2 linked regions of the Callithrix jacchus genome follow. The protein of the gene in region 1 interacts with the protein of each later gene in a pairwise test. Links are inferred from orthologs where the notes say so. Each region holds a gene or a part of one and is shown in the gene's direction. Other genes may lie near its edges.

The links. The genes of interacting proteins can lie anywhere in the genome.
Region 2: the proteins of SH2D4A (region 1) and HMBOX1 interact in binary tests that used the Homo sapiens proteins (3 or more experiments, as listed by UniProt). The two-hybrid records come from large-scale screens. The link is inferred for Callithrix jacchus from reciprocal best matches to the Homo sapiens genes SH2D4A and HMBOX1.

The regions. Positions count from the first base shown.
Region 1 is NC_133514.1:22,193,413-22,199,045, reverse strand, and holds the start of SH2D4A (SH2 domain-containing protein 4A), read left to right. Parts: upstream 1-2,394; 5' UTR 2,395-2,537; intron 2,538-2,696; exon of another isoform or gene 2,697-2,790; intron 2,791-5,633. UniProt on the Homo sapiens protein: Inhibits estrogen-induced cell proliferation by competing with PLCG for binding to ESR1, blocking the effect of estrogen on PLCG and repressing estrogen-induced proliferation. May play a role in T-cell development and function.
Region 2 is NC_133514.1:12,805,795-12,811,427, reverse strand, and holds the start of HMBOX1 (homeobox-containing protein 1), read left to right. Parts: upstream 1-2,560; 5' UTR 2,561-2,843; exon of another isoform or gene 2,844-3,191; intron 3,192-3,615; exon of another isoform or gene 3,616-3,650; intron 3,651-5,633. Other genes in the region: INTS9 (integrator complex subunit 9), read right to left, coding at 2,045-2,053. UniProt on the Homo sapiens protein: Binds directly to 5'-TTAGGG-3' repeats in telomeric DNA. Associates with the telomerase complex at sites of active telomere processing and positively regulates telomere elongation.

The DNA.
Region 1 (5,633 bases):
GGAGGGGAAATGTTTTCCTCTGAGAGAACTGGCTCAAAGGGAGGGAAAAAGTAAGTAAGGGCTCCACAAGTAATAGGCCACCCGATTTTTTTAGAGCATTATAAAACATTTTTGTATGGGCGCACTGGCTCATGCCTATAATCCCAGCACTTTGGGGGGGCCCGAGGTGAGTGGATCACCTGAGATAAGGAATTCCAGACCAGCCTGGCCAACATGGTGAAACGTTGTCTCTACTAAAAAAAAAAATTAAGAAAATACAAAATTAGTCAGGCATGGTGGCAGGCACCTGTAATCCCAGCTCCTCTCAAGGGTGAGGCAGGAGAATCACTTGAACCCAGGAAGGAGGCAGAGGTTGCAGTGCGCCAAGATTGGGCCATTACTCTCCAGCCTGGGCAAAAAGAGTGAAACTCCATCTGAAAAACAAATTATTGTCTACTTTTGAAATTAAGGGAAAAACACATATGTTTTATCTTCCAGACCATACCAATTAAAAGTGGAAATTCCAGGAGTCAGGAGAAAGGGAACAAAAAAGAGAAGGTGGTAGAGGAGAGGGGAGACCAAGTGAAGAGGATGGAGAAGAAACTACGAAATAAGAGAAGAAGAGATCATGGCAAATACAGGAAAGAGGCACAAGACAATTGGGATGGAAAGGGGCAGATGAGAGAAGAGGGAAGAGAGGCTGGGTTCTGCATGGATTGCGCTATTTGGGTACAGTGTGCATTCCTTTGGGCTATTAACATTCTTTCAAGATAAGAGCTCCAAGGTGTTTCCTAACTTAATCTCCGAAGTGGCATACTATCATCACTTCAGCCAGGTTCTGTTGGTCAAGCAGACCAACCCTTACAAAATGGGCGGGAGCTACTCCAGGGTATTTGAATACCAGGAGGATGGGATCCCTGGGAATGACTTGGAGTCTAGGTAGCTTGATGGGCAGAGCCCCTAGCCTCGGGTGAGAGGGTGGGAACCATAACATGGTATGAACTGATCCGAGTGAATGTGTTTGAACACTCACCACATGCCAAGAGCTGTTCTCATCTCTTTGCATGCAGTATCTCATTTAACCCTCTTAACAATGTAAGGAGGCAGGCACTCTTTATCCAGAGGAGGAAACTGAGGTACAGAGATTAATAGCACAGTGCCAGAGCTATTATAAGAAAGGACTGGTCAGGAGTTGAAGAGAGACTGGATGTGAGGAAGGTAACTGACCGTCACAGTGTCCTGTGGGATTTTTACTAAATGATAAACCACCCTGTATAGTTCTTCAACTGATCCAGCCATGCAGGGGTAGGATTCATTTGGATCTGGCCATAGCAGCTTTCCAGGGGCCAATCCCACTTCAGCCTAAAGCACCCCATAGGTTATCATTTAATCCGCAGCGGGACTAAGCCTTAGACCAGAAATTCCTCCCTAATGGGCTCCCTGGAATGGTTCCCACATAGCTGGGGGTCCTTTACTGACAATGCTGCCTGCCCTGATGCTTGATGTAACTCAGCCATATCTTCTGCAGTTGGGAGAGATGGGGAATGACATTTTGTGTTTGAACCCAGCAGGTCAGGCTCCTGAAGAGGTCAGGTAGGCTGTAGAGAGGACAACTGGTGATTACTGTTTATTACATGACACTAAGTCCCCAACACACGAAATCTGGGGTTCCCCAAAACAGACGGTGTTCTTCCACATGCTCCTCAAGGATGGAAAATGCCCTCCAGTGGAAATGCCTTTCCACTCTGCTTCTGCTGGATTTTCCTCCAAGATTTCCTCTAACTGTGGACTGCCAGCTCCTCCCTGATGTCTTCAGGCACCACCCAACCTCTGTTCTTGCTGCAATCCACAAGGCTCCTATCAACATCTTGACTTTCCCTCCAGTTTTCTTCCATTTTCTCCCCCTATGTTGACTGCGGTCTCCTTTCCCGCCTTTCTCCTTCATCTTGCCCTACAAAGCCGCACCTGAACCACAAGTGCCAGAGAGTTTGATCATTTACCTAATGTCAACAAAAGAAAAAAAAAGTAAGCTCTAGAGCCGGCTTGGCCTGAAGCACTCAAGCACAGTTAACAAGTGGGGCCAGGGCACCCTCCTACCCTCCACCTCGCAAGGAACTCAGAACTCTGAAACGGGGAAAGGGCCAGGCCTGCTGATTTAATCTATGTCCCGCAGTCTCCAAGAGGTCACAGACTGCAGATCCCAGTCTCCTGAAGTAAGAGAGGAGAGGACTACCGCAGTTGGAGGACAGCGCGAGGGCCAAGCGGCCCAAGATGCGCAGGCCACGCAGCCTCACGGACAAGTGGCCCTGGAGAGCCTCCAGGCACCCGGGTGGGGCCGCGATCGCGCTCTCAGTCACCCTAGCCTGTGGGCGCGGCAGGGCGGCGCGGGCGGGCCGGCTGCCGGAGCTGTTTGGCGTCTTGGCCTGAGTGTTTGCCCAGCCCGCCTGCGTCGCTCGGGGCGGCTCGGCCTTTCCCTCCCTCCCTTTGCCGACGGCTTCTGGCAATCAAGTGGATGTGGCGGGCGATCGGGCCACCTAGCCCAGGCGCGCCCAGCACTGGTAGGTGCTGGGGGTGGTGAGAGGCTTTGGGGAGAGAGTGCATGGGGTGGGAGTTGGGGGAAGGGAATTTCCTCCGGGCTTGCAGGGGTACCTGGGAGGTGCACGGCCCAGAGCGGGCGGGCGGAAGACTCACCCCGCCTCCACCCCTCCACGGCGCGCGGGGCGGGCTCAGGTGCGGGGCTGGGCGCCTAGCGCGGCCGCGGAGTGTCCGGTGTCCGGTGTCCGGTGTCTGGAGTCTGGAGCCGCTGGCTGGGTGAGTGGCGGTCCCCGGGGCCCGGGGACTTGCAGGGGATAGCGGGGTGAGTTCCGAGGGGGAGGGTCTAGCCCGGGCTCAGGAGACTTTTGGGGAAGTTCTGGGATCTGGCGAGGACTCGCGGCTCGTGCTTCCACCCGCGTGGAGTGCAGGCCGGGAGACGATCCGGGCTGGCCTGGAGTTTCTAGACTCCTAGCAGGAGCACAGCCCCGTCCTTCGCCCGGAGATCTTCCAAGAGGGAAGTCCTGGGAAGCGGTGGCAGCCGGCTCAGCACCCCTGCAGCGCGTTCCCTGCGTGCCGGCACCCAGGGGCGCCCCCACGTGGGGTCGGGGCGCGCGCGGAGGCACGTGCAGCGCAGCCTCCCTGGGCCTCAGACCTAGACATGGTGCCCAGTGGGCTCAACCAAGGGCGCCCCTGCCCACTGCTGGACTCGGGGGTCACGCGGGCCCCGGGAGGAGCCACAGTTTGTAGATTTTCTGAGTTGTCTCTCGCTTCCCTGGACGCTTAGAGAAGCAGCAAGCATGGAACCTCCCCTTTTCAGACAGGTGCTCCTCATTGCTGAAAGAGGCTTTTGTTTGATTGCTGTTTTAATAGAAACAACGACTTGGGTACCATTATTGTTAAATAGTGAATAAATAAGTGTAAAGTATACAGGGGCATAGATTTGGCATGAGTGGAATTTTCTAGGTATACTAAATCTGTGTGTACAGTAAACTCAAATTTCTGAAGAATAGTATATACTTGCAAAACTTGCCAAATTTCTGTCATCTCTAGTAATTTGTTTCATGGTCCAAAAACAGCCCTTGTGCTGGTAGATGCATAAGATAAAGTTTGAATAAGAAAGTAAAGTTGGACCACAGAGCTGGCTGTTTTAAAGGAATTAGAATTCAGACTGTGTTGTTAATGTATAGTTACACTGTCGGTACTACAATACTTTGTTATTTTTTATTTTATTAGGTCGGTGCAAAAGTGCGTTTTTTCATTATTGTTTTGTTTTTGTTTGTTCGTTTTTGAGACGGAGACTTGCGCTTTTTAGCTCAGTCTGGAATGCAATGGTGTGATCTTGACTCACTGCAGCCTCCGCGTCCCAGGTCCAGGTTCAAGCAATTCTCCTGCCTCAGCCTCCCAAGTAGCTGGGATTACAGGCACGTGCCACCATGCCTGGCTAATTTTTGTATTTTTAGTAGAGATGGGGCCAGCTGGTCTTGAATTCCAGACTTTGTGATCCGCCTGCCTCAGTCTCCCAAAGTGTTGGGATTACAGGCGTGAGCCACTGTGCCCGGCTGTAAATTGCAGTTTTTATGGCCAAGAAAAACAGTAACTTTTTTTTTTGCCATAAAAACTGCAATATTTTTGCACAGACCTAATATTTTTGAGACAGGGTCTCGTTCTGTCACCCAGGCTGCAGTGCAGTGTATGATCTCAGCTCACTGCAGCCTCAAACTCTGCAGCTCAAGCAATCCTCCCACTTCTGTCTCCCAAGTAGCTGGGACTATAGGTGCAGGCCACCACACCTGGCTAATTTTTATATTTTGTGTAGAGACAGGGTTTTGCCATGTTACCCAAGCTGGTCTCAAACTCCTGAGCTCAAGCAATCCACCCACCTCCACCTCCCGAAGTGTTGGGATTACAGGTGGAGCCACTGTGCCCGGCTTACTCTTTTTATGATTTAGGCTGTATCTTAGGCCTTTTAAAATTTTTATTTGTTTAGGCATCAGAGTTATCCAAAAGACAGTTGTATTAACACTGTGAAGGTGTGAGAATCAGGCCAAATCTATGGTAGCGTGGAAAACAGCTGATTCTCTCACCCTTTAGCAATTGGTGTTCAGAATAAATAGCAGGTGTGGGCTTGTTGCTTATCTTTCTCTTAAGAATGGTTTTGTGTTAGCTAGCTTTTCCTTTATTGGATCTTGAAAAACTGGAGGTTTGCTGCACTTGATATTTTATGGGAAAGTCCTTTGAATTTGAATCAGTATCAGCAATGATTATTTGTCCTTGTCAGAGAGTGAAAGTGGGAAAACCCGGTTAGTTAATTTCCTCATTTCTATTTCTTCTACCCTGGCTCTACCAGGCTCTTTCACTTCACAGTAGATTATGTCACATAAACCACATATTATGAGGAGTCACAGACTGAACTGGCCCTCATTTCACAGATGAGGAAACTGAGTCCCAAGAAGGTGAGGTGGCAGCCTAGAGTCACACTGCTCATTAGAGGCAGAGCTGGGAATTGAGGCTGAATTCCCTCTGGGTGTCTTGGATGCACTGTGCTGAGCTTGAGTTGGGGTCTGAGAAAGGCTTGGGGTGGGGGTTAGGGGATGGGAATTTAGGGGTGAGAGGGAGAGGTAATTTACACCAGCACCATTCAGCAGCTGCAGAATAACCACATCGTCAACAGCCTGACCACAGATAGTTGTCGGCTAGATCCCCCAAGTATTCTTGGAGGCACAAGGAAGCCAGTGTCTTTCCTTCAAGATGAACTAGTTAACTTGAATGTTAGAAAACCACATTTGCTATAAAAGCCAACACAACATAAAATGGAAATAACATGAGCATTTCATCACAGAGGTGCCGTGAACCTCCTTGCACAGGTGAGAGGCTGTGCTGTTTGCGCTGTTCTTAGTGTTTGCTTGGAAGGGGAAATTGTGGAGATGAAGTGGATGACTAAGTGCAAAGGGAAATGGAGAGGACTAAGTGGCTGGCGAATAAATGGGTGAACAATGTCCACGTCTGGGCTACTGTGACAGTCAGTTCCTTGCTGTCCTTCCTGGCTGGGGTGTGTTCAATACCTGGCCTCCCCTAAGCTTAGCTACAATTGACCAGGAGAAGGCTTCTGCCGTGTGTCT
Region 2 (5,633 bases), about 9.4 Mb from region 1:
CCAAATGCATGGGGAAACTGAGGCAAAAGGATGGCTTGAGCCGGAAAGGTGGAGATTGCAGTGAGCTGAGATCATGCCACTGCACTCCAGTCTGGGCCACAGAGCCAGACCCTGTCTCTAAATAAATAAATAATAACTTTGGTTTACTTTTCTATCTTCTTAGGTTATATGCTTCTATAGGAAAACTGCTATGACTTCATCCTTCCTCTTATATAAATAGCTTTATATGGAGACAGTTTCAGAACCGAATCCACTTTTAATATTTTGACTTCTCAGAAAACAGCTGGCTTTGCAGAGTACATGTCTTCAGCACAATGATTATCAAGATGAGGATAGGTGGGTTGTGTGGTTTGGAAAAGCATATTCAAATAATTATATAAATGGGGGGGAAAAAAACATCCCTTTTTTTTTTGAGATGGAGTTTCACTGTTGCCAGGCTGAAGTGCAGTGGGACAATCTTGGCTCACTGCAACCTCTGCCTCCCGGGTTCAAGTGATTCTCCTGCCTCAATTAAAGGTTGACAACAACTTGGCTGCACGAGTATGGGTTTTAAAGGGTTTAGACAGTATTTCACATCTGCTTTTCTACTCTGTTCTATTACTAATTGAATAGAGTTGGAATAAATTAGTTAGACCTGTGCGCACAATCAGTCAAATGGCTAAAATCAAAGGTCTAAGAAGCTTTCCCACGAGCCAAGTGCTTGAGCTGTGTGATGCTAAGACTTCAGCTATACAGACACGCTTCATCCAGCCTTGGCTCATGCACCCTTAGAATAAAATACGGTAACACTTCTCTGCCCATCTAAATCTCATGCAGGGTTAAAGACTCAACTTCTCCACACTCTGACCTCGTCCCTTCTGAATTTCAAGGGCAGTTAGGAGTCCATATAACAGGATATTTAATAAGTGATTACGTTCTGCCGAATGTTTTTTACTCTCTGCTTATATCCAGCCAAAGTCTCAGCAACGTAGGGAAGACAGGCTACTCAGGTGCCAATCGAGTGGAAAGGGGTTGTTAACAGCCTATTATAACATTCACGTGTGAGGGATCTGTGGGGATTGCTCCCGTGTGAGGCCCCTAGGAAATGGGTGAGCTTGAGCTCGGACACAGATCCCCGGTTGGGGGAGTCGAGCTGAGGGAAAGCAGGAACCGAGAGAGGGACTATGCTATTCAAAATAATTAACAGACATTACTTTATGGATATGGACTTGGGAGGCACTGTGTCTACTTTCGGCTCCTTATGGTTTATTGCTTGATTGTGTTCATTTTGGACCCTTGTTACCTTCATTGTAAAATATTAACTTAAGTATTTACACTTGGTAACTTACCATAACTTACTGGGCGTAACTGTAACTTACCTTGTGATTTAACTTAAGTATTTACAATTGTTAAGTACTTACTGGGCGTAACTTACTTACCGTAACTTACTGGGCGTAACTGACTTACTGGGCTTAACTTACTTACTGGGCGTAACTTGCTTACTGTAACTTAAGTATGTTGATCTGGCGTAAACAACATTAACTTCAACAAAGTATATAATGGAACATATTGCAAAAATAAAATTGCTGCTTGGACATAGCCTAAGCCAGCCCTCCAGACTCCGCTTTTCTTTTTTCTTTCACTTCCGCGCACTCTCTCCCTCAGGTTGAACGAGACATCTACGTTGGCGGTCTCGGGGACTCCCGCAGGTCGGTAGCCCCCCGGCAGACGTGCCGGACGCCAACACACGTGGGAGCTAGGAAGTCCAAACCTGGTTAACCAAGCCCAGAGTTCATCGGGAAAGCACTGTGACAGAGCCAACGTCTTGTCTGAACAAAAGCAACCACCAATGAGTGCAAAAAGACCGCCTGGCGGAGATAGCGGGGACGGGAGGGGGAATTCAACCCTTCTCAACAACAAAAAGCAGCTTTCCTTAGCCCACTCCACTTTTCAGCTTCCTAATTGCCACCCATCCTGTGGGACGGCTCCCTGCCCAACGTAGAAAAAAAGAGGTCCAAAGGATATAGCATCACCTTTGTCCTCTAACCTAGGAGCGAAGACTCACCAGTTTCATAATGGACTTTTGGTGGTTCAATAGCAGTCACCGAACTCCTCAAACCCCGGAAGCGTCTTCCGGTGCAATCTCCGTCACCTGCCCGCCGAGAGCATCGCGGGACTTGCAGTCTTTCATCCTCACGTCTTTTCCAGGGGAATCATGGGAAATGTATTCTCCCAGGCATCATGGGAACTGTGGTCGCCTTTCCTTTTTCTCTCCTTCCTCTCGAACGCCTCCTTCCGTCAGCTCAAATTCATCCCCGCCGCCAATGCATCCTCCCTCTCCACCCCAGCATGATATCATGTCCCCCGTACAGGCCTGGGGCCCATGGTGTTCTGGGATGTGTAGTCCTGATGGCTCCGACCCCCCTTCCTCTCCTCCCAAAGAGCAGGCGGATGAGCGCGGAACTTGCCGGGAGTTGTAGTTCTCTATGGCCTCTAGGCTCCAGGCTCCCGGGTTTTACTCAGGGGAGGCAGGAACTACAACTCCCAGGAACGCACGGCGGCAGCAGGTGGGAGCGGGGCTGTTGATATCAATATGGCGGTTGTCAGCCAGACAAAGACAGTCAGTCTGATGTGATTGAGACAAGGAAGGTTTTCAGGGGGAGACTGGGAGATAGGGGCCTCCCCTCCCCCTTCTCCTCTTCCTGCGCCGGCCTCAACCCCTCCCCAGTCCCCTCCCGACGGGCGCCCCACGCGGAAGACACCCCTCCCCCTTCTGCTTTCCCTCCTCCCTACCTCAGCCTTCCGTACTGGGACGTTGGGGAGGGGGCTTTGCCGGGCGGAGAGAACTCAGCGAGGATTCTGAGGTGAGTCGAGCGGTTTGGAAGCCGGACTACCTCAAGTCTCTTTCTTCACTTCTTTCTCTTCACTTAAAACAATTTTTTTTTTAAAGGGGTTTTGGGGAGGAAGTGAGCGGACGCTGGGGATGGGTCTCGTAAGCGGCCGGATTGAGAGGAGGGAGGAAGCTGGGGGCTTCCGAGTGGATGACCCGGACGCGGGCTGTGGGGTGGGGCAGTTCGTGGGGGCCGGTCCTGGAAAGGCGTCGACTGCCCCCAAGTCTTTCCTCCTGGTTTCCTCCACTATGAGCGGAAGGTTTGAATCCTGGAGGTGGGGTCTCCGGTGTGGAGTTCGGGAAACTGTGAGGTGATTTGCAGGTGTGTTGGTTTGTTTGGGGTAAGTGTGTTTTAAACTGTGTGACGTGTACTTGTGTGCCCTCCTCGTCTTAGAGCTGTGTCTGTAGATGAGAAGTTAGACAGCGCGGACTCGCTCGCTCTGGGCCTGGGCTAAGGGGCGGGCGTGAGGTCCTGGTACTGGGCGTTTGGGCTGGCGACGTGGTGCGGGGCAGCCGGGCTCAGCAACTCGCTCGTGTCCCGTCGTCCGCTCACACTCCGCCACCCGCCTCCGCCCCCTCCCTGGACGAATCTCCACCCCAAACTCCAGCCACGAGAACTGTAGCGATGGTGTGATGTGGAGATGGATTTTTTGCATCCTCAAGTCGGTAGATAGGTGGGAAAGGAAAAGTGTTTCTTAATATTTTATTCCGGAACCGTGTTTTGGTTACACTATTGGGGCTACTTTGAAAGGCGTCCTCCACCCACCTTCACCCCGAAACAGTAGGTAGACGTGTCTTGTCTTCGTGTGAAATAGACGAATAATTGTTGAAGATTCGGGGGGCCTGGGGTGGGAGTCGAGAGTGCTGGGTTGTGTACGCGTCTGTGTTTGTCTACTAAAGGAACAGAATGTCTGTTGTGTATCTTGAGATAGGGCGACTCATTTTTGTAGTAGGAAGAACTGTTGGAAATTATTTGCGGGGCGGGGGGGTGTGCTGAAAGGCGCTGCTTGTATTTTTCTTCTACTCCACCCTGTTCTGTCATGCATTTGCCTGCAAGCTGGTGGAATGGAACAGTGAAGAAGCATTGGGTGAGTGAAGGGAAGAATGCAGTTGACATTAAAGATACCACTATGTAAAGTTGAATGGTATAAAGCCATTACTGTTTTTATTTACGCTGAAGCTTAAAAGAAAAACAAGAACACCCATGTATCATATAGGATAGAATGAAATGACTAGTTCATTTCTCTGGGATCCTGCAGGTGTAGAAGGCTTCCCTCTTCCTTCCTTCATTTTTTCCTTCCCTTTCCTTCCTTCCTTCCCTCCCTCCCTCCCTCCTTCCTTCCTTCCCTCCCTCCCTCCCTCCTTCCTTCCTTCCTTTCTTCCTTCATTTAGTCCTTCCTTTCTTTCTTGGCTTAGTACAACGTTTCTCTTTCTGATGAACATAATACCGCCTGTGCCTTTTTATTTCGTTTGCCAATGTGGTTGTGCTTTTTGTGGTTTTACCGTAAAATGCATCATTAAATGCATTTGTTATTTTGCATTTATGCCGCAGGTAATTAATCACATCAGGATTGCAGTGCTTTGCATTAAAACTTACTTTAAAATTGTACAACTAAGTTGCTTGATCTAGTTTAATTATGTTTCTAAGTCAAAGTTGGGAAATTTGAATTCTAAATTTTTTTCAAATTTCAATTAGAGTGAAAAAAAGTATTCTCGCATCTCTTATTTCTCACAGTTTTTAATAACATACTAGCAGAATATAAGATCACGTATTTTGTACTTCCTTATAAGTTCTTCAGTAACCCTTTTTATGTGACAGGTTTTTTAGTGTAATAGATTTTTAAAATAAAGAAATTGGCATCATTTTCTATTTAGACTGTTAAGAATTGAATATATTCCCCAAACTTACCAATTCTTGAATCTGCCACCTATCATTAGTAAGGGATCTTTAGATTTTATGGTAACTGAAAACCACATAAATAGACTGTGTATTTTATAACCATTGATTTGAATGTTTTGCTGTTGGTCATTCACACAGATAAGGGGGACTGTAAGAGTGGGAAACATGTATATTTCAATTCACCTGACTAGGAAAAAAAATGGTTTCTAAATCTCAGATGTAGAATATACCATATGTTGATTCAAAACTAAGCCTTTAGTTTGTGATAGACCAGGATTTTCAGAATCATTTGTTTTAAGCTTGTATCTTAACTTGAAACATTACTTTGCAAAAGCTGGAGAAAAATCCTATGTAACTACTTAACGGAGTGTTTTGTTTTATTTTTCTGAAACATTATAATAGTCACGAAATTAAAAAAAAATATTTAATATTTTAGAAATAAAAAACCAACATATTTGTTAATATTTGGAATTGGAAAAACATGAGTGTTTTCTATTCCACCTATCCTTACCTCAAAATTTCTTTTGTTTTGTCTATGGAAATGCAAAGTTATTTACTGGGAAAAGCATTCGTTAAACTTTTTTTCTGGCTACCAGCAGGATCACAATCATTACATGTAAGCCAAATATATTCCTAGCATTTGTTGTGGGTAATTCTGTTGCATTTTAAGCACTGGGCATTAAAATGATGTAAAGCCTTTACTGCAGGTTAAAGCATAAAACATTTTCAGCATGTGGGAGTCATATGGTTTATAAAAAAAGTAGAAAACCAGGGCATTGGTACTTGTCCATCTTAAAATTTCATCCTGTAACTGTGAAAGACATTTGTTTTAATGTGATTGCTTCCAAAGATGTTGCCGGTATT